Linked DNA regions of Notamacropus eugenii. The protein of the gene in region 3 binds, or shares a complex with, the protein of the main gene of each other region. Links are inferred from orthologs where the notes say so. Each region holds a gene or a part of one and is shown on either strand. Other genes may lie near its edges.

Evidence for each region.
Region 1: INTS7 (region 3) and INTS12 share a complex: the UniProt entries of both Homo sapiens proteins name them as parts of the integrator complex. The link is inferred for Notamacropus eugenii from reciprocal best matches to the Homo sapiens genes INTS7 and INTS12.
Region 2: the proteins of INTS7 (region 3) and INTS4 are in contact, whole or in part, in a cryo-EM structure (PDB 8RC4), measured with the Homo sapiens proteins. The link is inferred for Notamacropus eugenii from reciprocal best matches to the Homo sapiens genes INTS7 and INTS4. Residues at the interface, in NP_056249.1 of Homo sapiens: Lys137, Asn138, His140, His141, Arg144, Gln145, Gly175, His205, His206, Asp207, Ala208, Ser244, Ser245, Leu246, Val247, Lys282, Thr283, Pro284, His285, Thr286, Thr321, Ile322, Lys325, His326, Gly686, Tyr689, Glu704, Gln707, Gln708, Leu711; in NP_291025.3 of Homo sapiens: Glu536, Met539, Asp540, Arg571, His572, Ala574, Tyr575, Asp578, Ser579, Ser610, Phe613, Arg620, Leu624, Leu627, Gly631, Glu634, Leu635, Phe638, Arg641, Asp642, Arg645, Leu646, Glu648, Leu649, Gln650, Lys677, Leu678, Trp679, Asn680, Val681.
Region 4: INTS7 (region 3) and INTS6 share a complex: the UniProt entries of both Homo sapiens proteins name them as parts of the integrator complex. The link is inferred for Notamacropus eugenii from reciprocal best matches to the Homo sapiens genes INTS7 and INTS6.

Annotation. Positions count from the first base shown.
Region 1 is NC_092878.1:125,219,663-125,226,955, forward strand, and holds the start of INTS12 (integrator complex subunit 12), read left to right. Parts: upstream 1-4,278; 5' UTR 4,279-4,391; exon of another isoform or gene 4,392-4,425; intron 4,426-4,546; exon of another isoform or gene 4,547-4,914; intron 4,915-5,873; exon of another isoform or gene 5,874-6,029; intron 6,030-7,293. UniProt on the Homo sapiens protein: Component of the integrator complex, a multiprotein complex that terminates RNA polymerase II (Pol II) transcription in the promoter-proximal region of genes.
Region 2 is NC_092876.1:125,487,428-125,494,344, forward strand, and holds the start of INTS4 (integrator complex subunit 4), read left to right. Parts: upstream 1-3,916; 5' UTR 3,917-4,242; coding exon 4,243-4,296; intron 4,297-6,395; coding exon 6,396-6,590; intron 6,591-6,917. UniProt on the Homo sapiens protein: Component of the integrator complex, a multiprotein complex that terminates RNA polymerase II (Pol II) transcription in the promoter-proximal region of genes.
Region 3 is NC_092873.1:426,296,137-426,303,485, forward strand, and holds the start of INTS7 (integrator complex subunit 7), read left to right. Parts: upstream 1-4,330; 5' UTR 4,331-4,459; coding exon 4,460-4,553; exon of another isoform or gene 4,554-4,561; intron 4,562-7,349. Other genes in the region: DTL (denticleless protein homolog), read right to left, coding at 3,931-4,075. UniProt on the Homo sapiens protein: Component of the integrator complex, a multiprotein complex that terminates RNA polymerase II (Pol II) transcription in the promoter-proximal region of genes.
Region 4 is NC_092876.1:104,426,755-104,434,771, forward strand, and holds the start of INTS6 (integrator complex subunit 6), read left to right. Parts: upstream 1-5,005; 5' UTR 5,006-5,542; coding exon 5,543-5,653; intron 5,654-5,977; coding exon 5,978-6,055; intron 6,056-6,696; coding exon 6,697-6,846; intron 6,847-8,017. UniProt on the Homo sapiens protein: Component of the integrator complex, a multiprotein complex that terminates RNA polymerase II (Pol II) transcription in the promoter-proximal region of genes.

The DNA.
Region 1 (7,293 bases), on a different chromosome or scaffold from region 3:
GAAACTTCTAAGATGGTAGAGGGGATTTTGAGGGGGAAGGGAGCAGAAAGAGAGTGGGGAAGGGAGAGAGAACAAACACATATAGTCTCTACTATGTTCTAAACATTACTAAACACTTTATTACAAAGATTATCTCATTTGATCATCAAAACCCTGGGAGGAAGGTGCTATTATTATTATCCTGATTTTATAGTTGAGGAAATTAATTCAAACAGAAGTTAAGTGATGTGCCCAGGGTCACACAGCTAATACATCTGAGAACAGATTTAAACTCGGGTTTTTCTTATTACAAGCCCAGCACTCTATCCTGGCTATCTGTAGACAAGAGTAACCTTACAAAAAAAGGGAGGTTTTCTTCTGGGTTACACTACAATGGCTCACATTATACGTACTACTTTAGAGTTTACAAAAAACTCTTCTTCCAATCTTAGGGTAAAATGACTTAGGATAACATTCCAAAATAAGATTTAAATGATTTATGGAATCTTTTGATACAGTTTTCCTCCTCCCTAATGCTGGAATGATTGGCCTAATTAACCTAAATATTCTGTTCCCCCCCAATTTAACTATTTAGTTGCAGAATCATTCTTTGCTATTTTGCTACAAATAAATGTTTTCTTTACTACTTTACACTTGTACTTTGCTATCCTGAATTCTATAGGTAATTTGAAAAAAGAAAATTCATTGGGCTGTTACATGAAAACCATGATGACTGATCTAATTGAAAGAAATCTAGATCTGAGTTCAGGTCCTCTCTCTCTCTCATCCACAAAATGAGCGTTGGTCAGGATAATCTTTAAGGTGCAACAGCTAGAATGCGATTAAATTCCATGATATGTCTGAGGAAGCTGAAGTTTATAGAGATCAATTCAGAGGTGATACTTCATAAAGAATTATATAAAATGAAGTTCAATTCTAAAGGTCAAGGCATATGGACGAAAAGCTATGTTAGTATTTAACCTGCTTCTTTGGATATAAGAAGTTGGATTGAAATGTAAAAGCAAAACATCTTCATGTAAACTTGGCCACAAAGAGAGACTCTGTTGCCAAGAAATCCAAATGCTCAGATGTATCCTCATAATTAAAAGGGATCCACAGGGTGGATATTGACAATATTAAGGCATTTCACAGGGCCTGAATGTGGTTGTCTACCAGCTTGAATGTAATTACTGAAGCCAGTATCACAGCAGTGGACTACTTAGAATACCTTTAATTTCAAAGTACAACATCAGGTACTGAGTTCCACCTAAAAATAATTAAATATCATAAACTCTCATACTGTGTACAAATTATAAAACAGGCAGAGAGCACTGAATACTGAGGGAAGCAGGTAGCATAACCCTTGAAACCTTAGACATCACTGACACTCCCTACCTGAATCTGATAGCTTTTATCTTACAATAAAATGCTGCCCTTTTAAAAGGCTATTTGAAAGCTCATTATTGACTCTTTATTTCAAGTCAAAAAGGACATAAAAGTTATAAGGAAAACAAGTGTAACTGAAACACTGAAAAAGTAATGCGTTAAAGAACTGTTTAACTGAATTGCTTATTCACACTGACCTCTCCAACTAATACTTTAAAGTAAAACTAAAACAGGAAAGCATATTTTCAGTTAAAGACAGTCTCAATCAGAGCCAGCATTGTGACTTCTCCATCAAGGGATTTAAAAAAAAAAAACCAGCCAAAGGTCTTAATACCAAATTTATTTACAAGACAAATTACAAACAGTTTTTTTCTGTCATAGCTTCAAAATAGCTTGAAAAAAATTAAGCTATCCATTTAAATGACAAGGCTTATGTTTTAAAACTGTTACAAGGAATATTAATTCTTCCTACTTGCATTTCCTATAGAATAATAACAAAGCTTTTCAAATCAACCTACTCAAAACTATCATTTGGTTGTAGTCAGGCATGAGCTGTTTTGATTACCTTAAAAATCTATAAATGCAAAAAAAATTAATTTTCCCTGTCAGTATTTGATATGCTGTTAGCACGAGCATCCTCCAGGGGATCCAGGGAGCCGGAGACTTAGTGACCAGGGAGTCTAGTGAGAAACTTCAAAGCCGAGTCCTAGGAGGAAGGGAATACCTGAACATTGCAATTTCATCAGGACTCATGACTTCCCCTTGGGAAAAGCCCCCTCCACCACTCTAGGTTTACAAATGTTCTGCTAGCCTGCTGTCTCCCAACATGCTTCTTGAAAGCACCACATATTTTTTCATCTTTTGCCATTTCTTTGATCCCTAGTGCTAGCACATTGTTGGTTCTTAAGTAAATGCTTGCTGACTTGACCCAACTAATAGTCACACTGCAGGGGTTCTCTCCTTAGTTCATGAACTTGTTTTTAACTTTTAATTTAATGTTAAGTTTTTTAAAAATTTTAAAATTTAAAAAAATTAAAAATTCTGACAGCTGTATTTTAATAGTTTCCTTTGTCATCCTAGGTTATTTTACTTAATGCACTTAAAAACATTCTGAGAAAGAATTCATAGGCTTTACCACATTGCTAAAGGGGTTCATGAGACACACAAGAAAGGTTAAGAACATCTGTCTTAGGAAATAGCAGCTTGTGACAGAGTCTTGCCCAAGGTCACACCAAGATGCTTTCAAAGCAAGTCTGAGGGCTTCCTAACTCAAACAGGATCATAGATTAAGGCCTTCTAGTCCAACCCCTTTATCTTACAAGTGAGGAAAATAAGACCCAGGGATCTGACCCTAAATCTCTTTAATGCCAGTTATAATTCCAACAAAGTAAATCTCAAGTGCATTTCCAGTGGTGGGTGTTATCGGATTAGCTGTCCCTGGTAAAGGACCAAAACAATATTACAATGTGGAAGTCAAGGTACAGGGTACCCTGCTGTGGCATACAAGCCTTCTAAGGCTCTACCACAGGTAGGGCACAAATGATGAGGTTAAAAATTGAAGGTGCAGAGAGGATTTGGGGGAGGTTCATGAAGATTGGCTACTTGCTTCCTTCCAAGTCCCAACTAAAAATGCCAACTTCTACAGGAAGCCTTAATAATTGGCATCACTCATGCTAATGCCTTCCTGTGGCTGTTCATCCCCAATTTTGGCTGTATATATTGTGTTTGCTGTTGTTTGCTTATCATCTCCCCCTTTAGACTCTTAGAGGGCAGATACTTAGAGGGATTCTTGACATCCCCATTACCTAGCCCCAGTGTCTAGCATATAGTAGGTGACAGTAGGTTCAGATCAGAAATCAGACACTTCCTAGCTGTGTGACCCTAGGCAAGTCACTTCACTGCTGTCTCAGTTTCCCCATGGGTAAAACGGGGATAATAATAGGGCCTACTCCCAGGGTTGTTGTGAGGATCAAATGAGATCACCGTAAAGCGCTTGGCACATAGTAAGCCGTACATGTTATATTACTTTATTTTTAATTTATATTACATATAACATATATATTATTTAAGCAGTAAGTTACGTCATTTATTATTCCTTGCTGTGTATCCCTGTGCAAGTCACTTAACCTCTGACTCATTTTCCTGATCTGCAAAATGGGGAGAAGTCTAGCACCCATCTGCCGGGGTTGTTGGGAGGACCAAATGAGATGGTAACTGAGATGCCTAGCGCAGCCCGTCTGCTGACACGCGCACCCATCCCCTAGCCCAGACAGTTTAGTATCCCAGGTGTGTACAGGAGGAAACAATGTATCAGGACATTCCTCCCGCGGTCTGAGATGGTAACTGACATGCTTAGCGCAGCCCGTCTGCGGACAAGCACACCCATTCCCCAGCCCAGACAGTTTAGTATCCCAGGTGTGTACAGGAGGAAACAATGTATCAAGACATTCCTCCCGCGGTCCCGTATCTGTCTGGCACGTGTACCCCGGGCTCCAGCTTGGGCTTAAGAGAAAACCACTAAGGCTTTCCATGGTAACAGTAAGAGCTTAATAAATGCTTGATTGACTGATTAAGGAAAAGTTACTTTAATCACACGGCCTCGGAGCCCCGGGAGGCTGACCGAGGGTGGAGGACCTCCTCCCCGCCTCTCGAGCTCTGCCCCGGCCCGGACCCAGTCCTAGAAGGGTAGGTAGCGGCCTAGGTCGGTACGTAGCCGGAAGGTAACGGCGGAGCCCCTCCCCACCCCCGAGTCCCGCCGCTCCTCCGGGATCCCCGCTCTGCTCCCGACCCGCTCACCCAGCCCGAGCGCCGAGATCTTCGAGAGCGCTGGCGCGCGGCAATTCATAAACGGGAGGACCGGAAGCTGCGCCACTTCCGGTCGTCGCACCTCTGAAAATTGTCCCTTCCCCCCGTGCCCCTGGAACCTTTGTTTTTCCGCTCGGGGAGCCAGCCGGCGGGTGTCGGCGGCCCGGCTCCAGAAGCGGACGCCGGGGCGGGACGGAGAGGCGGCCGAGGGCGTGGGCCCGGTGAGTCGGTGGGGGAGGGGGGCCGCAGCCCGCGAGGGTCCCTGGCGGGCGCGCGGACAGGTCCGCGCTCACCGCCGCTTCCCCCGGCGAGGGCCCGGAGGGGGCGGAGCCAGCGGCGGCCGAGCTGGGAGGGGGGGGCCGGTAGGAGGTGGGGACTGACCCCCCCCTCCCCCAGGCTGCCCCGCCCTGCGCGGACTTCTGCGCCGGCCGTCGGTGCCGAGGGGAGAGCGGGTTCGAATCCCTTTGCGGGCACTTGTGCGGGCTGGGCGTCCCCTGCCTGCCCGCCTCAGTTTCCCCCTCTGTAAAACGTGAGGTTAATAAGTGGCCACCTTTACGCCCCCGCCCTGCCAAACCATTCAACTTAGGCCTGCCTCAGTTTCCTTCTCTGTAAAATGGGGGTAATAATGACACCTGCCCCTGACCAAGCCACTTTAATTTTTCCCTGCCTCTGTTTCCTCCTCTGTAAAATGGAAACAACCCTGGCCCCTTCCCGTTGTTGTGAGGGTCAAAGAAGATAACCCAGGTAACGTGCTTTTACACCCTAAATGACACTAACAGCGATGAGGAGGAGGAGGAGGGGTAGGTAGAAGCAGCTGGGCTTAGTGCGAGGGATTCCTGGAGCCAGGAAGACCTGGGTTCAAATTGAGTTCACACTGGACGGGCGGCCCTGGGCATGTGCCGCATCTCTGGACCGCTGATAGACATGGGGGGGCCCCCTAACTGTCCGGAAAGACCTCTGCAGGAGCCCCCACCCTCGGCCGAGACACCCCCGTAGTGTATTTTCATCTGCTTTGTCCTCCCAAGTGCGTTTGCATCTGCTTAGGGAGCTCTTGTACGTGCCCCCCCCCCCCCCCTCCCGGTGCCTCCAGAGTCAGGGCCAGGACTGGGGAGATCTGGTCCTCACCTAGGAGCTCCCAGCCCTGGTGGAACCCCTGGTGCCTTCCAGAGTCAGGACCAGGACTGGGGAGATCTGGTCCTCACCTAGGAGCTCCCAGCCCTGGTGGAACCCCAGGTGCCCTCCTGAGTCAGGGCCAGGACTGGGGAGATCTGGTCCTCACCTAGGAGCTCCCAGCCCTGGTGGAACCCCTGGTGCCTTCCAGAGTCAGGACCAGGACTGGGGAGATCTGGTCCTCACCTAGGAGCTCCCAGCCCTGGTGGAACCCCAGGTGCCCTCCTGAGTCAGGGCCAGGACTGGGGAGATCTGGTCCTCACCTAGGAGCTCCCAGCCCTGGTGGAACCCCAGGTGCCTTCCAGAGTCAGGACCAGGACTGGGGAGATTCTGGGGAGAGGCAATGAGGGTGATCTCTGGGCACAAGCATTTTAATCAAGTGCTTGCTATAGGCCGGGCAAAGTCAAGGTTGCCGGCCTTCTGCCAGGGACGCAGCTGGCAGAAAACTAAGTACAGTGTTCCCAAAAGCAATTTTGTGTCAGATTTGTCCTGTTACATGCTGGCTCAGAAGTTGTTTGCCCTCCCTGCCTTACCTTCTTTTAGCTTCTTAAGGTGATGGCCTTTACCTTAAAGTCATCGAGTCCATCTCACTGGTACAGATGAGGAAAATGCATCCCAAAGACACAGTGATTCTCCTTCACAGAATCAGTAAAACTGGCAGAGCCAGGTCTGTTCCTGGAAAGGGAGAACTGTGGGAGAACCTGGTAGATAAAAGCAGGCAGCATCTGCCCTTGAAACTTATCTATAACTGCATCTGTGGAAGAAAGGAGAGGTGGCCAAGGCCCTCTGAGCATCGTCCCAGAGGATGTCTGTCACATGGTCTTTAGGAGGTGTTCTTAGAGTGAAGGAACATGTTGATTCTCCCTCTGTAATCCCTCCAGGCTTTAAGGCCATTTCCTTGCCAGAGAGATGAATGTGGGAGGTTTGTTTTTCCTCTCCTGTCAGATTTGGAAAGGTGATATAGGTAGTAAAGGCTGACTTGATGAGCAGATCAACATCATTATCAATTATTGTTATTAGTGTATCTAATTCAGCTTTGAGAGACTCAGCTACTGTGATCGAGACAATGATCCAAGACCGTTCCAGAGGAGTTGTGATGAAAAATGCTGTCCACCTCCAGAGAGATGTCTGATGAACTGTGTGCAGACTGAAGCATGCTTTTTAAAATGTCCTTATTTTTCTTGCTTTAGTGTGTGTGTTTTCTTTTGCATCATGGCTAATGTGGAAATATGTTTTGCATGACTTTGTCTGTTTAATTGATACATTGCTTGCTTTCTCCAAGGGGTGGGATAGAGGTGGAGAATTTGGAACCCCAAATTTCTAAAAATGAATGATAATTTTTTTAATGTTATTAGGAAATATTTAACAAAGCATATAAAAATACATTCAAAATAATAATGTATCCAAGTCAGCAGATTTATCAGGTGTCTGTATGCAAAGCATGGTGTCTGGAGCTGGGCATATAGACTGAAATCCCTTCCCTCAGGGAGCAGAGGGGTACTAGAGGTACTAGAGAGGAACAACATATAAACAAACAAGGGAATAAAGGATGATTTGAGAAGAAAAAGAGCTTTAGCAATAAGGAGAATCTGGAAAGCCTTCCCCTAAATATTGGCATCAGGTTTTAGCTTTGAAGAATTCTGAGAAGCCTTGATGTGAAGCAGTGTGGGCCCATGTGCTAACTGGACATTTACCAGCTGGGGTGCCATGGACAAGTGGCTTCTGTTTTCTCTTCTGTAAATTGGATAGGATTCTATCTGTACTATGTACCTTCTAGGTTTTGTTTTTATTATCTCTTCAGTTTCCACATCTACAAAACTGAATAAATATATGATCCCTGAGGTCTCTTCATGAATATTCTCTTTGACTAATACACTGACTCCTTGTGAGAAAAATGCTTTGTAAATGTTAATATTCTGCCTCCACATGAGCTATTATCATTCTTCTCCACTC
Region 2 (6,917 bases), on a different chromosome or scaffold from region 3:
CTAGGGAACTTTTTTGATAGGCAACCCGATAATTTTGCTTTTCAATGTGTTTTGGGATGCTAATAATTCTGAGGTTCCCTTTCCTTAATCAGTTCTCTCAATCTATAACATTATTCTGCAATGCTTACATATTTTTCACAAATGTGTTATTATTTTTATCTTCAACATTTTTATTTAAAGTTTTGAGTTCCAAATTCTTTCCCTCCCCTTCTCCCTCCCTTAGATGGTAAGCAATAAGATACAGGTTATACATGTGCAATTGTGTAAAACATTTCCATATTAGTCATTCTGTAAGACTTGAATAAAAGGGAAAAATAAAGTGAAAAATAGCATGCTTTAGTCTGTATTCAGTCAATATCAGTTCTTTCCCTGGATGCAGAAAGCATGTTTTATCATTAGTCCTTTGGAACTGTCTTAGATCATTGTACTGCTGAGAATAGCTAAGTCATTCACAGTTCTTCATTGAACAATATTGCTGTTGCTGTGTACAACGTTCTCCTGATTCTGTTCACTTCAACATGCATCAGTTAATGTAAGTATTTCCAGGTTTTTCTGAAATCACCCTGCTTGTCATTTCTTATAGTGCAATAATAGTCCTTTACAATCATACCACAGCTTGTTTAGCTATTCCCCAATTGAGGGGCACCCCCTAGGTTTCTATCTGCTATAAACTGCTATAAATATTCTTGCACAAACAGGTCCTTTTTCCTTTTGGGGGATCTCTTTGAGATACAGACCTAGCAGTGGTATTGCTGGATCAAAGGGTATGCACAGTTTTATAGCCCTTTGGGCATAGTTCCAAATTGCTCTCCAGAATGGATCAGTTCACAAGGTGAATTATTTTTTGAATTGGCTTTTCTCCTTCAATTGCATTATCTTGCTGCTCTTTGCTCCACTGCATTAATTCTGCTTTTAGCTATATCCAGTGAAATTTTCAAGTCCTCTAAGCTATTTTCTAGTTTTATCTGGCTTTGTTTGCTTGTTATGTTCTCCTGGGATTTCTTAGCTGCATTCATTTCTTCTTTTATTTCCTCTAGGACTCTTTTTTCTAAGTTTGATTCTTCTTTAATTCCTTGTATGTGCCTTTGATCTGTGTCAGCGCATCTCCAAAGATTCTTTGTGTTGTTTTAGATGTAACTTCTGACACTGTCTCAGGGTGCCTTCTTTCTGGCATTTCCCCCTTCTTTCAGTAATTTAAAAAAAAATTAATATTAGAATTTGTTGCCTTTTTGGTCAGTTCCAGGTTTCTTTCTGATATTTCTATTGCTCTTCATTAGGAGGATCATGAGGACCCTCGATCCTTGTTAACTCACACCAACAGCGTTCCTTTAAATATATTTTGAAAGTTTAGTTCTGATGTAAATTGAACTTTTTCTAACCCCAGTCTTTCACAAGTCAGTCTAAATGGAAGCAGTTTATATAGGATTCTATGAATTAGAACAGATTGTTAATAACAGTCCTAGGTAACAGTTAAAATGCAAGTTTCATTTTTCATACAATTACCTGCTAAAGTTCTGATTACAAAGTGGGAAGCTTAAGAGAATTAGCACAGCTGTTGGGAATTCTTATGAATAAGAGACAATCAGGGACTTTATTCCCCATGACATTCTCAAGGCTAGACACATTGGCCTACTGCCTAACTGCTCTCTTATTGCTTTTCCAGATGTCTTATGGGATAAGGATGGCAAGGATTCTCCTCCTTGAAATTCTTGGCTTCCATATGTCTTTGGCCTATTCTCTCATCCTTCTCTACCATTTTCTCTTGCTCCCTAATTGAATCACTAAAATTCAATCATTACACCCCTTTTCTTCTCTCAGTACATTTCTTCAGAAAGCACATGCATATATTCTCACAGCTTCAACCACTGCTTCTATGCAGATGACTCCCAAGACTTTTTCTTCCCTCCGCTCAAAGCTCCAAATCCCCTTTCAACTTAACATATCCTGAATTCACAACCTTCTCCCAACCTATTGACCCTCTTGGTTTTTCTCTTTTAATGGCATTTTAAAATCTCTCATTCACACCAACTCAAAACCTTAGAGTCAAGTCTGAATTCAAATCTGAAATTACTATCTTTTTTTATCTTAGTCAAGTCATGTAACCACTACATTCTGTTTCTTCATCTGTAAAATAAGGCAGTTGGACTGGACGGTCTCTGATGTACTTTCCAGCTCTAGATTCATGACCTTTTAAGTCTTGTTAATCTCTCTCTCTTCTTTAAATTCCTGCAACACTGAACTCCTGCTACTTTGAAATGCTAGCAAATTAATAAATCTAGAGCTGGAAGGGATTTCAGAAGTCATATAATCCCACTCCCTCATTTTACAGATGAAGAAATTAAGACTACTGAAATCAAGAGACTTGGCTAAGGTTATACTAGTAATAAGCATCAGAGGTGGCATTTGAACCCTAAACTAGTGTTTTTACTACCATGCCAAGCTGCACTACAGTCTCTTGCTATCACTCTAAGTTAGCGTCCTCTTCCTTCTCTCTTGTCATAGCATCTAACTAGATTCCTTTCTTTCTGTCTCTCTTCTGACCAGAAAAGACTGATCTCATCATGTGGGCACCCCACTGCCAGTGATGGGGCCAATTTGGGTTCTCAAAGAATAACATTCATTGATAGGTCACTCCTACAAACCCCTGCCAGAGCTTGTAGTTGTTCTGTTTGTCCTCTGTCCTCGTGGCATGGAGAAGATAATAGGTGATGCTGCCACTTGCAAGTAAAGTGACTGAAGTGAAGGAGGGCTGTGCAAAGTCAACAGCCTCTTTCTCTCCTTTGGAGTCATCTGAGTCTCTTTCCCCTCACACAGATCCTCCCCAACTCCCCTTCCAACTCACAGACCCCTCACCCCCATTTCCTTCACACATACTCCCACTCCCTCTTACCATAACCCCACATTCACTCCCTTTTTCTCTATGCCTTGACGCCTAACATATCCTTTCTTCTACCATGTCCCCTGGCTTAAAAGACGCCAAGGTCTCTCATTGCATCCTGAGCTGTTGCCAGTCATTCTGATGAATCTGGTCATTGGATCCATATGGCTCTAGAGGAGAAAATGAGGTTGGTGACCTTGTACAGCCCTCCCTTAGTCAAATGAAAGTCAACTGGAAGTCATGTCATCATCTTGATGTCACAGGTCCTCTTCAGAACGAAGGACAAACACAACAACAACCTCCCCGTACAAATCCCTATCCCCTCACCCTTCCTCCCTACTCTTCACATAGGTCTTTTTCTCTCCTGTCCCCCACTTTCCCATCAGATATCCCCCACGCTTTCTCTCCACCACACTCACTCTTTTTATCTCCCACCATCTACACTCGTATCCTCCTCTTCTCTCTTCTTTCTCCTTTCCTCCATTTCTTCCCTTCACATTCCCTCCTTCTTTCCTCCCAGCCCCCATCTTCACCCCATCCTCTGCCTACCCTCCCATCCCCCGCATCCCCTACTCCCTTTCATCCCTCACTCCCTCCCCCTTCTCTCCTCCTCCCGCCTCCCTACACGCCCCTTCCCACCCCCCCACTTTCTACCATCCCTCACTCCCCCCTCACACAAGCTTCCCCTCCCCCTCTCCCCCAGACATTCTTTCTTTTCATACATTCGCCCATAGCTCTCCCCGTCCTTCCCCTTCACAAAAACTCTGCCCTAGTTAGTGGGCATCCTCTCCTCAGTCACCCCGGGCCCAGCCCCCACCCAGCGCCTCCCTCACTCAACCACACTTCTCTCCTGCTCCAGGGACAAACCCGGCTCCGCGTTTTTCCGCTCGCTCCACCTTCAGTTCCGCCCCTCCACGAGCTCCACCCAATTACCACGCGCCGCGGCCGGCCGCCCTCGTTCACTGGCTACCTGCCCACCCAAGCCCCGCCCCCTCTCCCTGCTACCTCTCCACCTCTTCTCCTGTCTCTTTCCTCCTCTTGTTTTCATTCCCGAAGTCGCACGAGGCTCATCTGTTGCAGGGGGAGTGGGGGCGGGGGCGGGCGCGGGAGATCGAGCGCCTTGAGGGGGAAGGGAAGCTCACATTATCCACGCCACTCCTCCTTCCCCGCTGCATTGTGGGATACTGGAGTCCCAGTCCTAGCTCCGACCTCCACTTCCCTTCCCCTCCCGCGCTCAGCGGGACTCTCCACGGCTGCGGGGGGGGGGGGGTGGGGGGAGGCCCGGTCGAGGCTACGGCGGCCGGGAAGGGCCGGCCCGGAAGAGAAAGGCGGCGCTGGAGGTGCTGTTTGCCCCAGCCGCCGCCATGGCCGCGCATCTAAAGAAGCGGGTGTATGAAGAGTTCACCAAAGTCGTGCAGGTAAACGGCCCTCGGCCTGGCGGACTGCGGCAGCAGCTGGGGAGCAGGACCGTGGGTCCCGGGGCGCCACCTCCGAGGGCTCCTCTCGAGGCCCGGCCGGCTCCTAGTTCCGCATCGGTCTCGCCGATCCCTTGTTCTCCAGACCTCAGTTTCCTCCTCTGTACAATGGGCACAGTCATCTCGTAGCGTTCTTGCTAGGGCTGTAAGCAGTGAGGGTCAGCTGAGTTGGGGGGGACTTGAGAGGCCGCCCAGCCCAGCCCCCAGAGCTCTGTTGGGAAGTTCAAGCTCCTTCCAGCCTAACTTTACCTTTTGGCTTTTGTGCTGGGCCCAGCCTATTTGTGTGATCACCAAACGTGCTCCTCCCGAGATAGCTCAGTCCTAGGAGATAACGGGAACCCAGGTCCCATCCCTCCCTCTGTAGCGGAGGAATGTGGAAGTCACACAAACTACTCTTTGGGGCTCGGCCAGCTCATCTCTGCAATGGGCTGCACAGCCAGGTAGTTCTAGAAGCAGCTTGTAGCTCAGGCAGATACTAAGGGAAGTTTTGTGGTATTGGGTGGAAAAGAACAGTAGGCAGAATTGTGGATACAAAGTATCTAAAATGAATAAAAAGTTACATCTCCCAGGTTGTGGTCTAGAGGAAGCCACTGTAGAAAGTGGCTCTGGATGGCAGGTGTAGAAGTGTCCAAGTGAGGAACTCTAGAGCTTCCCAGGCCTAGGGGGACAAGCCGTGGAAAAATAGGGAGAGGAAGTGGAACAGGGTGTATCACATATAATCAGCCTTAAAGGTAGGGTACTGCCAAATTGTTAAGGCCTTTAAATGCCAAGTAGAGGTGTTTGTATTGTATCCAGGAAGGAATAAGGAGCCACCGAAGCTTCTTGAATGAAAGCATGAGGTTAAAAATGGGTGAGTGAGCTGGACGAGAATACAACAGAGGTAAAATCTGCCCATTCCGTTAAAGAGTTCATAGTCTATTCAGAGAGATGAAGTTTAAAAACTATGTACCAACAAGATATCCTAAAGACTGCTTTAGGAATATGAATTTGGCAGTTGTTTGGGATATGAATTTGGAGAACAGAGTTTGAATGTAGGAAGACCAGTTTAGAAGATTTACCTTTTTTTTTTTTTTGATTACAGATCATTTTGATCATACCTTGAGTAACTTAAAGAAGCTGTTCATTGAATAGGTGTATCTCACTCAAAGTGAGAGTGTGACCTTAGCCTGAAAGGGCCAGGGTTCCACATTACATCCTGGGCCATCTCCAGTCATCCTGATGAATATCTGGTCACTGGATTCAGATGGCTCTGGAGGAGAAAGTGAGGCTGGTGACCTTGCACAGCCCTCCCTCACTCAAATCAAAGTCAACTGCAAGTCATGTCATCATCTTGATGCCATGGTCTTCTTCGAGAACAAAGGACAAACACAACAACAGTAGTATAGACCAGAGCATATGAAGGTCTATGAACAAGTTGTGTGAGTAGAGAAAGCAGGACAAATGGTAGAGATGTGGAGGTAGAGGTTTGTCAGCTGAATGGATAATGTCAGGGTGAAAGAAAGGGAGAAGTTAAGAATGATTCCACTTACTTGTTGTGTTCTAAGTTTTAAGCAGTACCTAAGTGTATTTTTTTTTGTCGTGCCAACTCTGTGACCCATTTGAGATTTCCTTGGCAGAAATATTGGAATGGTTTGCCATTTCCTTCTCTAGCTCATTTTTACAGATGAAGAAACTGAGGCAAACAGAGTTAAGTGATTTACCCAGGGTCATACTACTAGTAAGTGTGTGAGGATGTGAACTTGGGTCTTCTTGGCTGCAGCTCTATATTCTTCACCTAGCTGCCAAATATGTCTATTAGAGAAATGTAAAACAAAGCGCCGTGTAACATCTGAGGTGGGGAGGTCAGTCTCATGGAATCAATCAGTTAACAAGCCTTTATTGGGTGATGCTTCCTGATGTGCCTGCACTGCTACTCACTGGAGAGAACACAGAATCCATAGAACTTCGCAACTCATCTGTAATTTAGTCTTAGAGAGTTGACTGGAGGGATTTTTATTTTCTTATTTTCCTTCACCAAGGTAATCTGCTTTAATCCATTGCAGCAACAACATGAAGAAATTGCAACCAAGAAGCTCCGGCTGACAAAACCAAGTAAGTCAGCAGCACTCCACATAGATCTTTGCAAAGCCACTTCCCCAGCAGATGCCTTGCAGTATCTCCTTCAATTTGCTCGAAAACCAGTGGAGGCCGAGAGTGTGGAGGGAGTTGTCAGAATTCTCTTGGAACATTATTACAAGGTAAGGAGACTACCCCTGAATTCCTCCTGAGATGCCTCTTTGTGGGGCATTCTGGGTTCTCAAAGTCTGGGTCAGAAGAGTGATAAACCTTGGGAAGAACCTGCCAAGTTAGACTGGCTTGAGACATTTGGCTAAATTGTACATTGGATGGAGGAGAGAACCAGAGGAAATGATGGTGTGAAAGTAAAGGTCTTACCAGATGCTGCATTTCACAGATATTGCAGGTTTTTGGTTTTTTTTACAAACTGAAGGTTTGTGGCAACCATGCAATTGAGCAGGTCTATCTGTGTCATTTTTCCAGCAGCACATGCTCACATCATGTCTCTG
Region 3 (7,349 bases):
TATATTAGGTTAGGGGTATCAAGAAATATATTATGTCTTACACTTACACATAAAGATATGGAGATATAGGTTTGTTAAAGCCAAACAGATTTGGCTTTAACAAATACCCTTTCTTAGCGTAGAATCAATGGCAAATGAACAGTATAGGTGTACTAAAAACATTTTCATTGGAGAAACTGGGAAACACAGGAGATGAAACTTAAAATTGATTTTGAAAGGAAAGTCAGGACCTAAGACAGGAGTGGGGAACCTGCGACTTCCAGGTCACATGTGGTCTTCTGGGTCCCTGGATGCAGCTTTTTGACTGAGTCCAACTTTTACAGAACAAATCCTTTTATTATGGGGATCTGTTCTGTGAAGTTTGCATTCAGGCAAAGGGCAGCCCTTGGAGACCTAGAGGGTCACATGTGGCCTCAAGGCCACAGATTGCCCACCTCTGATCTAATACTTGGCTCTTTTTTGGATCCATGATGACTCTCCATAAATGTAAAACACATCCCTCTCACTCCTCCCCTAGCCTTATTATGGATAATATATTTTCCAGTAAGTACATGGAGGATGTACCCAATCTTCTAACTTATTTTGTAACAATCTTCTAATCTTTCTGCAAAGGCAGAGAGGCAGGAATGTGGACAACATGAAAAGAACAGGTTGGGCTGATTACACAGATTCCTTAGAGAAGTTCTCTATATAAAGTTAGATGTGTGTGTACTTCCCCTGCCTTCCTTGCAAAGGTAAAGAACTATTGATGTGGAATACTACCTATAAAATCAGACTTTTTTCAAATGCTGACTAATTTTGCCACTTTTCATAATAGTTATAAAGGATAGCTCTCCAGAAAGGAGGAAATACCGGGAAATATAGATAAGCTAAAAACAAATGATATCAACAATCTATGTTTTAACCATTTTAAATAGGTGTGTGTAAAGGGAGTGGTTGAACAGGGCTTTGAATAATAGCTAAAGAATAGCATAGGCAATGGAAGTCTTTTTAAGATTTCTGAACAGAGGGGACAGAAGAATGACATAAGCAAGGCAATGTTTAGGGAGATTAATTTGCTAAAGATGAGTGGTAGACTAGAGACAGAGCAGGTAGATTACTATTTCAGTAGTTCTGATATGAGATAAAGTGGGCTTCGACATGAATGGTGGCAATCTGAATGGAAAGAAAGAAGCAGATATGAGATATATTAGGAAGGAATAATCAATAGGATTTGAAATCTGATTAGATGAATGAAAAACATGTACTTTATTCCAAGGGGTCAACAATCACCTCATGAGACTTATGTGAAAACCAGTTTTATTTTACAAGAGAAACGAACAAGCATGTGGAACCCAAAGAGTTCACAGTCCTTACAGAAGTTTGCATATTTATGACAGTACAACAAAAGGAGGAGGAAAAAACATATATTTCCACCTAAAAGGTATGACATGGGAGGGGAAAGGTGCAGTAAAGCTCCTCCTGAAGGGGAGGAACAAGGTGATGGCAAAAGCCAAATTCTTTTACCTTGGAAACCACTAAACCATAAGTTCCCAAACTTATTTAGCCTATTGCCCCCTTTTCCAAAAAGAAAAATTATTCAGTGCCCCTCTGAAGTTAGGTAACCCTTTACTTTTATTCAAGGCCCCTCAAATGCAGGTGAGGCTATGATTCCCCCCCAATCTTTTGATAGGAGGAGTCCTGCTTATCTGCAAAGGACCCCAGCTGCACAAATATTTTCCCAGATTGGCACAGATTGTCTGGTGCCTGTCTTGTCTCCCAAGGACACACAGTAATCCAGGTCCGGGTGCAAACAACAAATTATGTCAGCTGCGGGGCAGCTTTGTCCCAAACACATGCAGGGCTGGCCTCCTGCATGCTCTGGGTCTAGTGTTTCTGGAAAATATGGCAACTCAAAAAGACAAGTTCAGGGGACCCCATAACAAAGCACTGTGCTGTCCTGGGGATACAGAATCAAAAGCAGAGAGACTGCTCTCAAAGAAGTTTGTATTCCAAAAGATTAGGAATAGTGAAAGAGGAGACTATGTGGGAAAGGGAAGAAATTCCAGATTGGACACTAAGTTTGGGGGAAAGGTGAGAGTTTAATTTTAAAATGTAAGTGATAACTGAATATTTTGTAGATGAATAGAGATCCAAGAACCCATGTCTTAAACCAGAATTCTCTGATACACAAATCCCTTATACATAAAAATGGTCAATTCATACTATTGCGCCAGGGACAGACTTTCTTTGGAAGAATTCTCTAAGGCATATTATTCCTTTCTTACTACTTGCCAAGCTGCTCTATTTCACTATGGTGGAAGAGAGGTGAAAAGCACTCAAATAATGCTATCACAATCCTTTCCTTCTCGTTTCCCACAGAAACAATGCCATATAATGGTTATTAGGTTCTCTAATCAGAATATAATACCGTCTGGTACTATTTCATCTTCATTGTGGATTAAACAGGTAAGAAATCTAACCACAATTTACAATATTGTTTCCGTGGGGAAATGTGTGAACTCGACCAATTTACAAAGAACTTTTGAAACACAAATAATTTTCAAGTGACCTGTACTTCTTTGTACATCCATCAAAACAGGCACCTGCAGTACTTAGTGCCATAAAATTAACATTTGCTTGATTAGCAAGTATTCCATATTCTTGATTAATGTGCTTTAAAAAACTGTTTTGCTGTTTCTAAGTTGTGCATTTGGTTCATCTGTAAGAATGTCTGCCCCAAACAAAGTCAATCTGAATACTAGAGAGGTTTTAATTCTAAATAGATCTCTCAGTACAACAGACATTTATTAAGAGCCTAATATAAGATGTTTCAAAAATGCAGTTTTTTAAGCACTAAGAGGTTTGGGACACTTTGTACTTGCAAGGAATTGTACTGGAAATACAAAGGTGAAAAAAAATGAAAGGGGTCTCAGCCCCTAAGATATTTGTAATATAATGGTAGGAGGGGTACACCACGGATACGCACAAGTATAATAAGGGAATCAGGGAATTCGAAGGGGGAGAGCTGAACAGGAAGAGATAAGATAAGAATTGGTTTCTAGGCCTAGGAGTCAGAGTTAAATGGAGGAGAGATGGGGGAGGAATCTTGCAGGAAGATAAGGACCGAGGCGTCCTTGAGCTCGCAACCCTCCCGGACAATCCACAACAATTTAACCATTTATTTGGTACCAGACACGGGGCTCAGTCCGGGGGATACAAAGAAGAGGCAAACACTCGGTGCCTGCCCCAAGTCCCCAGGTTTGGATTCACTCAGCTCCTCCTCGGAGCCGCTCTGGGGGTGTAAAGCACTCCCAGGGTAACGGGGAACCATCAGCACGCAGGGCACGCACCGAGCTCGCCCCAGAGCAAGGGCCTCCAGGAAGGCGGAATCGAGATTTTGGTGGGATCTGGGCCCCTCGAGATGCGCGTGTTCTAAGGGTCCACATGTAAAAAACCTGTTCAAACAGGATACGTCGTAGGTAAACGGGAGGTGAGGAGGGAGGATGGGAGGGGGCGGGGGGGAGGACTAGGGCAGGCCCCTGCGGGTGGGATCTGAGCCGAGTCTGGGAAACTAGATCGGGAAAGGAGAAACATGAACCTAAGTTAGCGCTAATCTAGCGCTTTCAGAGTCGCCCAAGGCTCGGACTTTTTAAGGGGGATCTCAAGGGATCACCCCTTCCCTCATCCCGCAGAGACAGCCCTGGACCCGCGGTTTCGGAAGCGCACTCCAAGCCGCCAGCCGTCCTCGAGTTCCCATCCAGCCTCGGCGGGCGGGGGGAGGGGTCACCGCAAGCTCTCTCCATCCCCTGGGGCGCCCCGGCCGCAACGAAAGCCCGGGGCTCCGATCAGGGGGGCTGAGCGCCCGGGTAGCGGAGGGGAGGGGGAGAGCGAGGCAGCCCGAGACCTGGGGACGCCGACCTGCCAGCGACCGTTAGAACCGTTACTTACCATTCCCAATCGCGCCCAGGCGGGGCTGGCGGAGGAGCGAATGGAACAGCATCTGAGGCGGCGGGAAAAGGCCGGGGAGCAGAGGAAACCCGCAGGCGGTGCAAAACCTACAGCCCCCACGCCCTCTCCCCCGTCCCCAGCCCATTTATACCGGCTAACTCCCGCCACCACCGGCTCCAGCCAACAAACTCCGCGCCAAACTGACGAAACGCCACCTGATTGGCTCCTGCCGTTCCATCGCTGAGACGCAAGCCACGCCTCCTTCGAGATCCCCGCCTCCTTCTCACCCGCCCTCCCTCCTCCCACTGAGGAAGCCCCAGGGCGAGTGGCTATTGGCTCCGTTTGCGCCTGCGCCGGGTGAAGACGAAAGGCTGAACGGCGGAGCACTTAGGCCGCATGCGCGGTATTAGCTGGCAGAAAGCCGAGGTAGGGGGGAAGAAAACACGCGAGAACAAATTGGAGGGAGATGGTTGCGTTGCTGCGGAGTTTCTAATCCTGAATAGGCTTGTCTAATTACTGTTAGAGCGCCATGGCGTCGAATTCGAGCAAATCTTTCTTGGCAGACGCCGGCTATGGCGAACAGGAACTGGATGCGAACTCAGCCCTCATGGAACTGGATAAAGGTATCACGGTAGCTAACCGTCCGCGTCAAAATGGGAGGGGGGGAAGGACGGGGAGAAATGGCGCCACCAGCTGGTCGAGGCCTGAAGACGAGCTAGGGGCGCATGCGCGGTAACCTTGGCAGTGGGGGTAGTCCTTTTTCTCGGAAGCTGGCACGGTTTGTTCCACGCTTTCCGTGGGTCGCGGGAGGTGTGGGAGGTGAACTTTGAAATGCCCGCAGCCTCAAGCTGGAGGGCTTGGAGGGGGAAGGGGAAAGCGTTCGGGGCCGGGGGCGTGGAGCCCTGGATTCACGCGCCAGCCACGCACCTGCTGTCAAACCTTTAGCTTCCCCAAAGTCGAACTGGTTTATAAAAATCTTGGGCCTGTTAAAAGTACGTGCCTTCTGAGCCCGGCATTTGATTGTTGGGTCGTCTCCGACTCCCAGGGACCACATCAGGCCTTTCTGGGCCAAGCGGCTAACGACCCACAGGTTAAAGGATTCCCCCGGGGTCACGGCTGGGGTCGCATTTGAACTCGGGTCTCCCTGACTCCTGGCCCACCGCCTCTGCATTGCGCCCCCTAGCTTGGATTGATGGACCTTCTGGACTTGGGTTTGTCGCATTTGCAGCGAATACCGCGGAGGAAGGGCTTTTGTCACTGTTTTTGACTCACCTATGAGAGCAAAGTAGAACAAATGGTTTTTATTTTTAAACGTTGAAAGCGCCTTAGCTGTTTCTATTACCCAGCGCAAGAAGTTGGTCAGATTTGCAAGAATACAGGTCGTTCCCCAGTTGACAAGTTTGTCCAGGGATGTGAACAAGCAGTTTTCAGATGAAGATATCAAAGCTAACTGTACTCGTATGAAAAAATGCTCCAAATCACTACTGATTGGAGAAATACCAATTAAAACAACTCTGAGGTGTCACCTCACACCTATCAGATTGGCTGATATGGCAAAAATGGAAAATGTTAAATGTGGAGAGCATATGGAAGAATTAGAACACTAATGCATTGTTGGTGGAATTGTAAACTGATCCAGCCAGTCTTGTGAGTAATTTAGGACTGTGCCTAAAGGACTGGAAAACCGGGCATACGCTTTGAACCAGCACAATTACGTCTATATTTCTAAAAACTCCTGTGGCTCTCAAGGGTAAAGAAAAAAATTTTGTTTTTGGCACTTAAAGCCCTCCAGAATCTGACTCCAGCTTCCTTCTTCAGACCAGGCACTGAAAGGCTGAGGAGAAAATAAGACCAGTTGTCTGGGTTTAAGGACCTTACAGTTTAATGGGAGAAGACAACTGTGTGTAAGCAAGGCATCTGCAAGATAAATTGGAAATAATGTCTAAGGAAAGGCACTAAAGGAAGGTTTCCTGCAGAAGATGAGAGAAGCAGAGGAAAGAAAGAGAACCATGGAAAATGTGCTGGTGAAGGAGTGTCCCTTGTGAGGAATAAATAGCAGGTGCCACTGGATTGCAGAGTTAGGAGGGAGGGATTAAGGTATAAGAACTTGGAAAAGGTTTTTATACTTGATCCTGGAGGGAGCCATTGGTGTTGATTGAATAGGTGAGGATGTGGGCCAAGAAGACAGCTTTGATAGAAGAGTGAAGGATGGATTGGAGGAGAGACTTGAGGTAGGGAGACCAAGCAAAAAGATATTGCAATAGTCCAGGTGATGAGGGCCCAGCACCAAAGTAGTTTTCATGTTAGAGAAGAGAAGGGGCCTACTCTAGAAATGTTGTAAGGTGGGAAAAGATAAGCAATAAATTGAATATGGGGGCTAGGCTGAGAGAGAGTGAGGGCTGGATAAGTGGATTTGAAGATAGTTGGTGTAGACATAGGAACTGAATCCATAGGAACTGAAGAGATCACTATGTAAAGCAGTATGGGGGAGATATGTTCTGTCTAGGACAAAACCTTAGGGGAACCCCCCACAGTTAGTGGATATGTATGGCTTGGATGGAAATCCAGCAAAGGATACTGAAAAGGAACAGATTGGTAAGGGAACCATGTGGTCTTTAAAAAGGTTCAAGAGACATAATTTTCTGGATAATTTGATAATTTTATTAATAATATCTTAATTTTAATTAAATTTGGCTGTCTCTCTTTTAGACCAGAGATAATCATGGGGCAGGCTCACTGCTTCTCTGCCCATTGGAAGAGGGGTGAGATCAGGGTGGCAATCAAGTCTGATTGACTAAAAATGAGAGAACGAATAGTGCAATGAGGGGCTGGACCTGAACTTTGATTATGACTTTTACTTCTAGGTTAGTTCTATCCTTGGGCAATCTATTCAAAGATTTTATCCCTACTCAGACCTGAATAGGGCACTGTGGCTTTCCCACCTGGGTGGTTTCTGAATCCTAGCTCATTAGTAATCTTTCATGATTAGTCTGATCTTTTAAAATCAGGACTTTGGAAAAGGGGGAGAACTCTGGATCTCCTCAAATCATTGGTTATTGATAATCATTTCTCTCAACCAGGAGAGTTATGTCACTAGAACCAAGAGAAAAGTGAGTGTTAAGGAAAAAAGAGTGATCAATAGTATCCAAAGGCTACAGAGAGGTTGAGAAGGGTAAGGATTGAAAAAAGGCCATTGAATTTGACAATTGACAGATCATTAATAACTTTGGAGAGAGGAGTTTCAGTGGAATGATGAAGCTTTCTGGAAGCCATGCAGTAGAGATTTGAGAATGAGAGAAAAGGACGAGGTAGCACATTAGTCAGTAGTTAAGTAAACATTTATTAAAGGCCTGCCACATGCCAGGCACTGTGCTAAGCTTTGGAGACATTAAATGCAAAAGGAAATCCTTGTCCTCAAG
Region 4 (8,017 bases), on a different chromosome or scaffold from region 3:
TAACCCACTCCTCTCAAGGAAGGCTTTTTGTGAATTTTAGAGTACTATGTAAACATGAAAAGTTATTAATGACCCACATAATCCACACCAAAACAAAGGGAAACCATTGCCAGTTTGGAGACATGAAACTCATTTAGGAATCATAGAAATTTCAAGCTAGAGAGAGAATGAAACAATGAAAAGAGTAGTAGCTTTGGAGTCACAGGACCTGAGTTCAAATATTATCTTTGATTCTTACTACCTGAGTGTGCTTGAGCACTTCATCTCCCTAGGCCTCAGTTTCCATATCTGAAAGACATGATGTCTCTTCCAGCCTCTACATCTGTAGTCCTGGCGTCCTAGAGGTCTTCTACTCCAGTGGTCTCAAGCTCAAATTGCATGTTACTTTTAATATATCTACAATATCTCTACTTATTGCAGGTGGGGTAGCTCCCTGAAGGCAAGCCTGTTGGTGCTATATGCTACACTATACATGTGTAAGAAGATGTGATTTCACATTATTGGAGGACACAAGGCAAAGGGTTTGGGAAAAAAATACTGCAGGCATCCAGAAATAAGCAGTTTAAATACCAAGGAACCATAGTTAGGATTCACACAGAATCAAGAAGCTTCTACTATAAAATGAGAAATCCTGGAATATGATATTCCAAAAAACGAGACAGGCTCATGACAAAGAACTTACTCTGTAACACCAAGTATCCTACGGACCAATAAAAAAACCCCACAAAAAAACCACCCACACTTTTAATGGAAGAGGACTTTACAAGCATTTCTGATGAAAAGATCAGAGCTGAATAGGAACTTCGAAATACAAACTAAGTCCAAAAAAACCTCCAAAGGAAATTTAGTCAAGCAATTGGAAGGATCCATACGACTATGTAGTGTTAACATTTTGATAGGGGCAATGAAAACAAGTGTACCTTCAGAACATCAATGTCTTTAAAACAGATTAAGACAGTTAAATGACAAAAAAGTCATCCTGGGAGTGGATTGATTTTGTTTTGAGTGTTCTAAGAGGAGAAAGGGAAAGGAAGTAAAAGAAGAAAAACATCAGAGGAACAAGGAAGAAGGGGTGTAAATAGAAAAAGTGAGGGCAGTGGTCATCAGATGAACCTCATTTAACTGGAAAAAAAGAGGACTGAATACACACTCACAAGGCTTGGTGTAGAAACCATTAAACTCAACAAACAAGCAGGGATAGAGAAAGGGTGTTTGGGAAAGGTTAATATTGGAGAAGCAATAGTCAAAAGCAGAACAAACTCCTCATTTGTGAAGGAAAGCAAAGAAATAGACTCTAAGAGGTTGCCTCAGATCAGTAGTATAAAACTAAAATAGAAAGGGTTCCCTGCTGGTCATATACTAACTAGCCCTCCCCCATTAACATTAACTCTGTTGTATTACATTTTTATTTTGTTAAACATTTCTCAATTATATTTTAATCTGGTTCAGGCAGCTTGGGAGTTGTGCAGCCACTTGCAGCCCACAGGCCACAAGGTTGATACATTTGTCTTAGATTTCCTTTACATAACTGAGGAATGCCTGAACAAACTGTGGTATATGAATTTAATGGACGATTAGCATTCTATAAGAAAATATACAAGGAATAATAGTCTCAGAGATTCCTGGGTGCACAGTGAAGTGAGAAGAACCAGAACAATCTAAACAAGGCCAGACACTACAAAGGAATACAACTTTGCAAGACTTAAGAACTCCGTTCAATGCAGTGAACAGCCATGTCTCCAGAAGACCTAAAATGGAACATGTTACCTACTTGCCTGCAGGTGATAGACTCAAAGTACAGAAAGACTTTTTTTTTTTTTTAAATAGACAGTGCATAGATTTGTTTTGCTTCACTATGTTTATTGGTTACAATTTCTTTTCTTTCTCCTTTTATTTATCTGACAATGGGGTAATGGCTGCAGGAAACTCGTGGGGATAGAGGTTTAGCAATAGTGATGCCAAAAAAAGGGCCCTTGTAACATTTTTAAATGTAGAGAACAGAAAGGAGTTGAGAAGTAGAGATAAGGGAAGTTTTGAAAATTTAAAATGACAAGTTTTTTTAAAAAAGCAAGCAGAAGAGTCATGGTTTCTTATAAATCCCCCCATTTGTGTACTGTGTATAAAAATTTTTTTTGTGGTCAGATTTTTTTTTTTTAATTAAAAAGGATTAGATTTGTTTTTTGCCTCAGAGGGATGAACTAGGCCCAGTGAGAATTTCATAAGGCAGATCTTGGGTCCCTTTAAAAAAAACTTCCTAGCCTTAAGAGCTACCTCAAAGTAGAACAGATTACCTCATGAGGTAGTGAATTTTCTCTCAAGCAAAAGCTAGAAGACTACTGGTTGAGAATTTTGTAGACAGGGTTTCTCAATCAGGTGTGGGTTGAATTAACTGGCCTTGGGGTCCCTTTCATCTTTGAGGTTCTATGATTCTGATGTCATATTCAAATGCCACAAACTCAGATCTTAGCACCTATGTATATTCCAGTTCATTACTTGATTGACTTATGGTAATTTATAATGGCTCTTGTGGGCCATTGCAGGTAAGTCTAATTCATTAGATCCTAACTCTAGCTAATTTTATTTCCATAATTGGGAACATTATTTAAACCAAGGATCAGCAAGTTTTTAAAGAAGTACTAGGCCAAGTTGCTATTTACTCCTAGTAATAACTAGGCTACTTTTAACTAGCCCTTATCAGTTTTAGGGGGTAGGCTCTTACATCAGATACTACTTGGCTTTTCTCTAAAACCTTAGTCATTGTGACCAGGAAAGGGGATATATCTCAAAACCTCACTACTTGTCATTCCACTATTATAGTCTCATTCCACTGGTTCTAAAACTTCTCCAAATCTGAACCTTTTAAGAAGCACATGTCAAAAAAAAGATGTACATGTCACCTTGTCATAAGCTTCTCTTCTGCATTCCCTCAAATCCCCCACCCCTCCTTAAGGTATTATCAGCAAGAGTTCATTGACACAAGGCTGAGATTAAGAATGGGATAAAGGCTAGATGAGAATGGGCCTGGAACACTGAAGGAGGAAGAGGAGGGAAAGTGATTCTGAAACGGAGAGAGTACCGAAACCCATCTTTGCCTGGGCTGCCCATTATGCTGATGCCTTGTTCACTCCGACTTTCTTTACCAATGCCCTGACTTTTTTTGCCTGTTTTGAGTATTTCCAGTTCTTAGCTCTTAACACTGTAGGTTTTAAGACAGGAGGGGCAAGGAAGCAATAAGACATGTGGCTTCTATGAATCCCAACTCTAGAATCTGGATTCTGGATTCTATGCTCACAGGATGAAGAGGCCCTTATCCCCTACATTTAATTTTGAGTCATTTCTCAGAATGCTCTCCACACTGCCCACATTCTGCACCGGGTCGAGAAGAAAGCGACTTGGAACTCTCGAACTATATAAGTGAGCCATTACCATTCCAACAAAAGTTGAATTTCTTGCCATTCCCTAACCTCATTCAATACTTTCCTAACTAGGAATGCTTTTGCTCACGTCTGAGACTAATTCTATCTCAGGCCCATCCATGACACCCTTCAAGACCCGGGTCAGAACCATCTCTGCCAGCAAGCTTTCCCAGATGTAACCCTGGAGAAACGGTCTCCCGGACCGAACCCCTCCTTTGTATTGACGACCCCACTCATTTCTACAATAGGTCTCATCTTCTCCACTACACCACCAGGTCCTGGAGGGAAAGGCTACTTTTGCCTTCAGCTTGGTGTAGTTCACAGGCACAATGGCGCAGTGCCTAGGCTTAGGAGCGCCACTGTAAACTGACAAAATGGTTGAGGTCCAAATCTTACAACAGGAAGAAAGTTTACGTCCTAAAGCTTCTACTTAACAAAAACAGGAGGTGCCACAAACATGAGGCTGAAATCTTAACCGAACCCGTGTGATACTGCGGGGAAAAAGGTCTTTGCTGTTTGTCGACAGCCAGCGTTCAGGTTCCATTTCGGTACGAGGGGCTGGGGCCAGGCCGGTCAGGGCCCGGCCGTGCCCGGGGGGCCCCGAGGCAGGCCCGCGCAGGTAAACAAGGCCCCGCCGCGCCAAGGGCGGGCGTGCAGGGGAGCTCGTTCGGCCATGAGGAGCGCGCCTCCCCCACCCTGCTGCTCTCGGGCTCCGCACCACTCCCCGCAGCGGGGTTTGCCACACACAATAGGGGGAGGCCCCGGGGGTCAGCCCCCGAAAACCTTCCCGAGGAGGCCCGGCCCCGCCTCGCCCGGGCCGGCTCCCCGACGCCGGGCCAAGTGCCGGCTCCATCCGGGTGTCGGGCCCCCTCGACGGGCACGGGGCGCCTGAAGAGAAAGAGCAGGGCTCGGGGCGGAGACTGATGGCTGATCACAAACAAGCCCCGCGATCCCCTCCCCCAGGCCCGGGATCCGCCTGCCGCTGGGGCCCTAGGGAGCTGACTCCTCCCGCGACAGCGGCGGCGGCAGCGGCCCTGCCTCCCTTCCCTGAGTGCCTGCCCCGCTCCACTCCCCGCCCTCATCACCCGCCTCCCAGGCCGCGGGCTGCTCTCAGTCACCTCGGAGAAGGGGGAGGGGGCGAGGGAGGCTCGGCCCAACCTCCATCTTCCCCCCGACCCCCATCACCTCCAACAGCCAAGGAGAGAGGCCGCCTGGCCCCGCCGCGCAGGCTCACAGCCCCGGCCAGCCCCGGCGTGCCTCCCCTCCCCCACCCGGCCGCCCCTCTCCGCCCCTTCCCGGAGCCTGCCCGGGGCCCGCCTCCGCGCCTGCCCACCAGCCCGCTTGCTCTCTCGCTAGCTCTCGCGCGCTCCCGGGCGCCTCGCCTCCGCGCGTGCTCCATAACTGTCCCCCGAGCCGACCGTCCCACTTCCCCCGCCCCTCTGCTGTTTGAATATTCTAATGAGGGAACAGTGTTCAGCCTATGGAAGAGCGGGGCGGCGTGTCACATGGCACGGGGACGTGTCAGGGGGGCGGAGCCCGAGGAGCCCCTGCCCGAGTTAAAACCGGAGTGTGAGAGAGAAAAGCGCTTCAGTAGCGAGAGGGGCCGAGAAAGTGGTGACACCGCCGGGGAGCGGGGGGAGTCCCTGAAACTTCTCCCAACAGCCCCAGGGCCAATTCCCCCCCTCAGCCCAACCCCCTCTTCGCCAGCTCCCGAGTCCCCACTCCCTGCGCCGGGGGTGGGGTGGGGAGCCAGGCCCGTCTCCCGCTGGGACACACATAGGGGCCGGGAGCGGGGACGGGACCCCCGAGGCGGGTGGACGGACGGACGGACAGTCAGGCAGGCGGACAGACAGACGGCCGGGCGTCCGGCCCAGCCGGCAGGCAGAAGGAGGAGGTGGGGGTCTGCTGGGGTGGCCAGGGGCGAGGGGAGTTTCCTCTCAACTATCCGGGGAGAAACTCCCCTCAGCCGGAGGAGAGCCCCCGACCGTGTTTTCCTCCCGGGGGCCGCGCTCCCCCGCCCCACGTAGCGGCGGCCGCCGCCTCCACCTCCTCCACCAGCTCCACCACCACCACCACCATCTCCTCTTCCTCCACCACCTCGGGCCCCGGTGTCCCCGGCCAGCACTATGCCCATCTTACTGTTCCTGATAGACACGTCCGCCTCTATGAACCAGCGCAGCCATCTGGGCACCACCTACCTGGACACGGCCAAAGGCGCGGTAGAGACCTTCATGAAGGTACCGACTGACCGAGCCAGCTGGCGAACACGGCCGGGGTGGACCCGGGGAGCGGACGATCAGGGGTGGGGGGGTGGCCAGGGGGTGGGGGAGACCCGGCTGCGGGAACAGCCCGGCGTGGGGACCCCCCCTCCCGCCACCCCCGCGGGCGGGCGGGCGCTGGGGTCGGGCGGGGGGCTCCGGAGGGTGGGGGGGGGCCCTGCGTGTGTGCTGCACGGTGGGGAGCGGGGGGGCTCGGTCCGCCCGCGGGGATGCCTCGTAACCCGGGCTGTGTGCTCCCCCGCCCGCCCTGTTCTCTCTCCCCCCTCTCCCGCTCCCTCGCAGCTCCGTGCCCGGGACCCGGCCAGCCGAGGAGACAGGTATATGCTGGTCACCTTCGAAGAGCCTCCCTACGCTATCAAGGTAAGGGCCCCCGCCCGGCCCCGCTTCGCCCTCGCCTTCCCCCGCTCGCCTAGCCCAGCCTTGCCTTCCTTATTCCTTCCTCTCTCGCCCTGCTCCCCTCCCCCCGCCCCATTCACCCTTCATTATGCTCCCCTCCCCCCCGCCGCGGCCTCGGGCCCGCTCCCCGGCGTCTTTTCTCCCCGTCTCTCGGCCCCCCGCCCCCGCCCGCGATGCTCGTGGGGCCGGGAGAAGAGGAGCGGCCGCGCCGCGACCTCCTGCCCGCCGCCGGAGCGGCCGCCCGCGGCGGCGGCGCTGCTATCAACATGGCCGACATTTCCCCCCGTGTGCTGCGAGCGGCGGCGGCAGCAAGGCACTGTGGGGGATGTGTGTTCAAGTTAGCGAAGTGACAGCGGCGGCGGCGGCAACTCGGGCTCAAGTTTGGCTTTAAAGGGAGCTCGGGGCTCGCGCGGCTGGCGGGAGCGGAGCCCGTGGGAGCGGAGCCCGCGGGAGCGGAGCCGCGGCCGAGCCGCCCGCCGCCCGCGCCGGACGTGGTGCCGCCGCGCCCCCAGGCGCGCCCCGCGGGGGCCCCGGGCAGCGGCCCCAGGAGCGCCCCGAGGCCCGTCGTGGGGGGGAAATAAACCATTGTGCATTTCTCTTTGCAGGCTGGATGGAAAGAAAACCACGCCACGTTTATGAATGAACTGAAAAACCTTCAGGCTGAAGGACTTACGACTCTTGGCCAATCCCTAAGGACAGCTTTTGATTTGTTAAATTTAAATAGATTAGTAACTGGCATAGACAACTATGGGCAGGTAGGTTGAATATTCAAGTGGGAAACTAGTTCATTTTCCTTTTTTCTGAAGAGACCGTTCCAGTTCACAAACTTTCCATAATATGACATTTTCAAATGTACCTCCTCTCAAAGCAGATTTAACTCGAGAAGACATGCACACATTAGGGACAGTTCTGTCCCCTCATGTTATTCGTGAAAAAGCCTTTGTTTTCTGAACTTCACTTCCTTATTTAAGACGCTGACATTTTATGGCCCTAGTACAGTTGAAGAATACTGACATTAATTTGTGATTAAGAGCAGGGAAATCTGTGTTATGTCCTACTGTCACCTGCTTACTATGGTGCGACTGTGCTCATACGTACGACTGTTGGCTGACTTTGAGGCACAGGCATTAGTAGGGGCTTAGGGGCTTGCTTCATTCTGCTAGTCAATAAAGAAACAGGGAAATCCATCTGCTGCACAAGTGCTTATCCATTCCTTGTATGTTTCTTGTCTGAAGGGTAAGAAAAGTACACTCTCACCTAAGTGCAGACTTCAACCTCTTGAATACACTAGGATTTCTGAACTTCTTTTTGAAGGATCCAGAATTGGCTTCTACTGCTGTTAATGAACTAAAAATGTTAGGTCCAGAGGACAGAAAAAGTTTTTGCTCTTTCCTAAGAGCTTTTTTTTTTTTTATTCAACCCCTTGGGTTTCTCTGGAAGCTATGGAAGAACCCTTTCCCCCTAAGTCCCTGTATTACAGCTGCTGCTCATCAATTTGAGGATCAGACAAGACCTCTTTTGGAGCCTGGCAACATCATTCTCTAATCCGCGTGATGGTTCAATATGGAGTAATCAAGTTGCTCCATTAAAACATTCCGTGAGACTGTTGGCCTGAGAAATAAAAGATCTGCCTGAGACCCAAGAGGTTCAGTTGTTACCTGGAAGTACATTCCACTCCTACCACAGGGATCTGTTATAGTTAAATATCTGCCTTTGCTCCACTCAGCTCCCTTGAACCATGACTACCAGTTAGTAGGACTGTTCTCTCCCACTTTTGCTTCTTACAAACTAAATTTACTCTAGGAGAAGGAGCATACCTGAATTCAGTTGAGATAAGATTTTTTTTGGTATCCCCGTAGGGAAAAGTGATATGCAGTTCTTACAAAGCTGCTGTGCTAATTATTGGAAAGATCAACCTCAAAATGA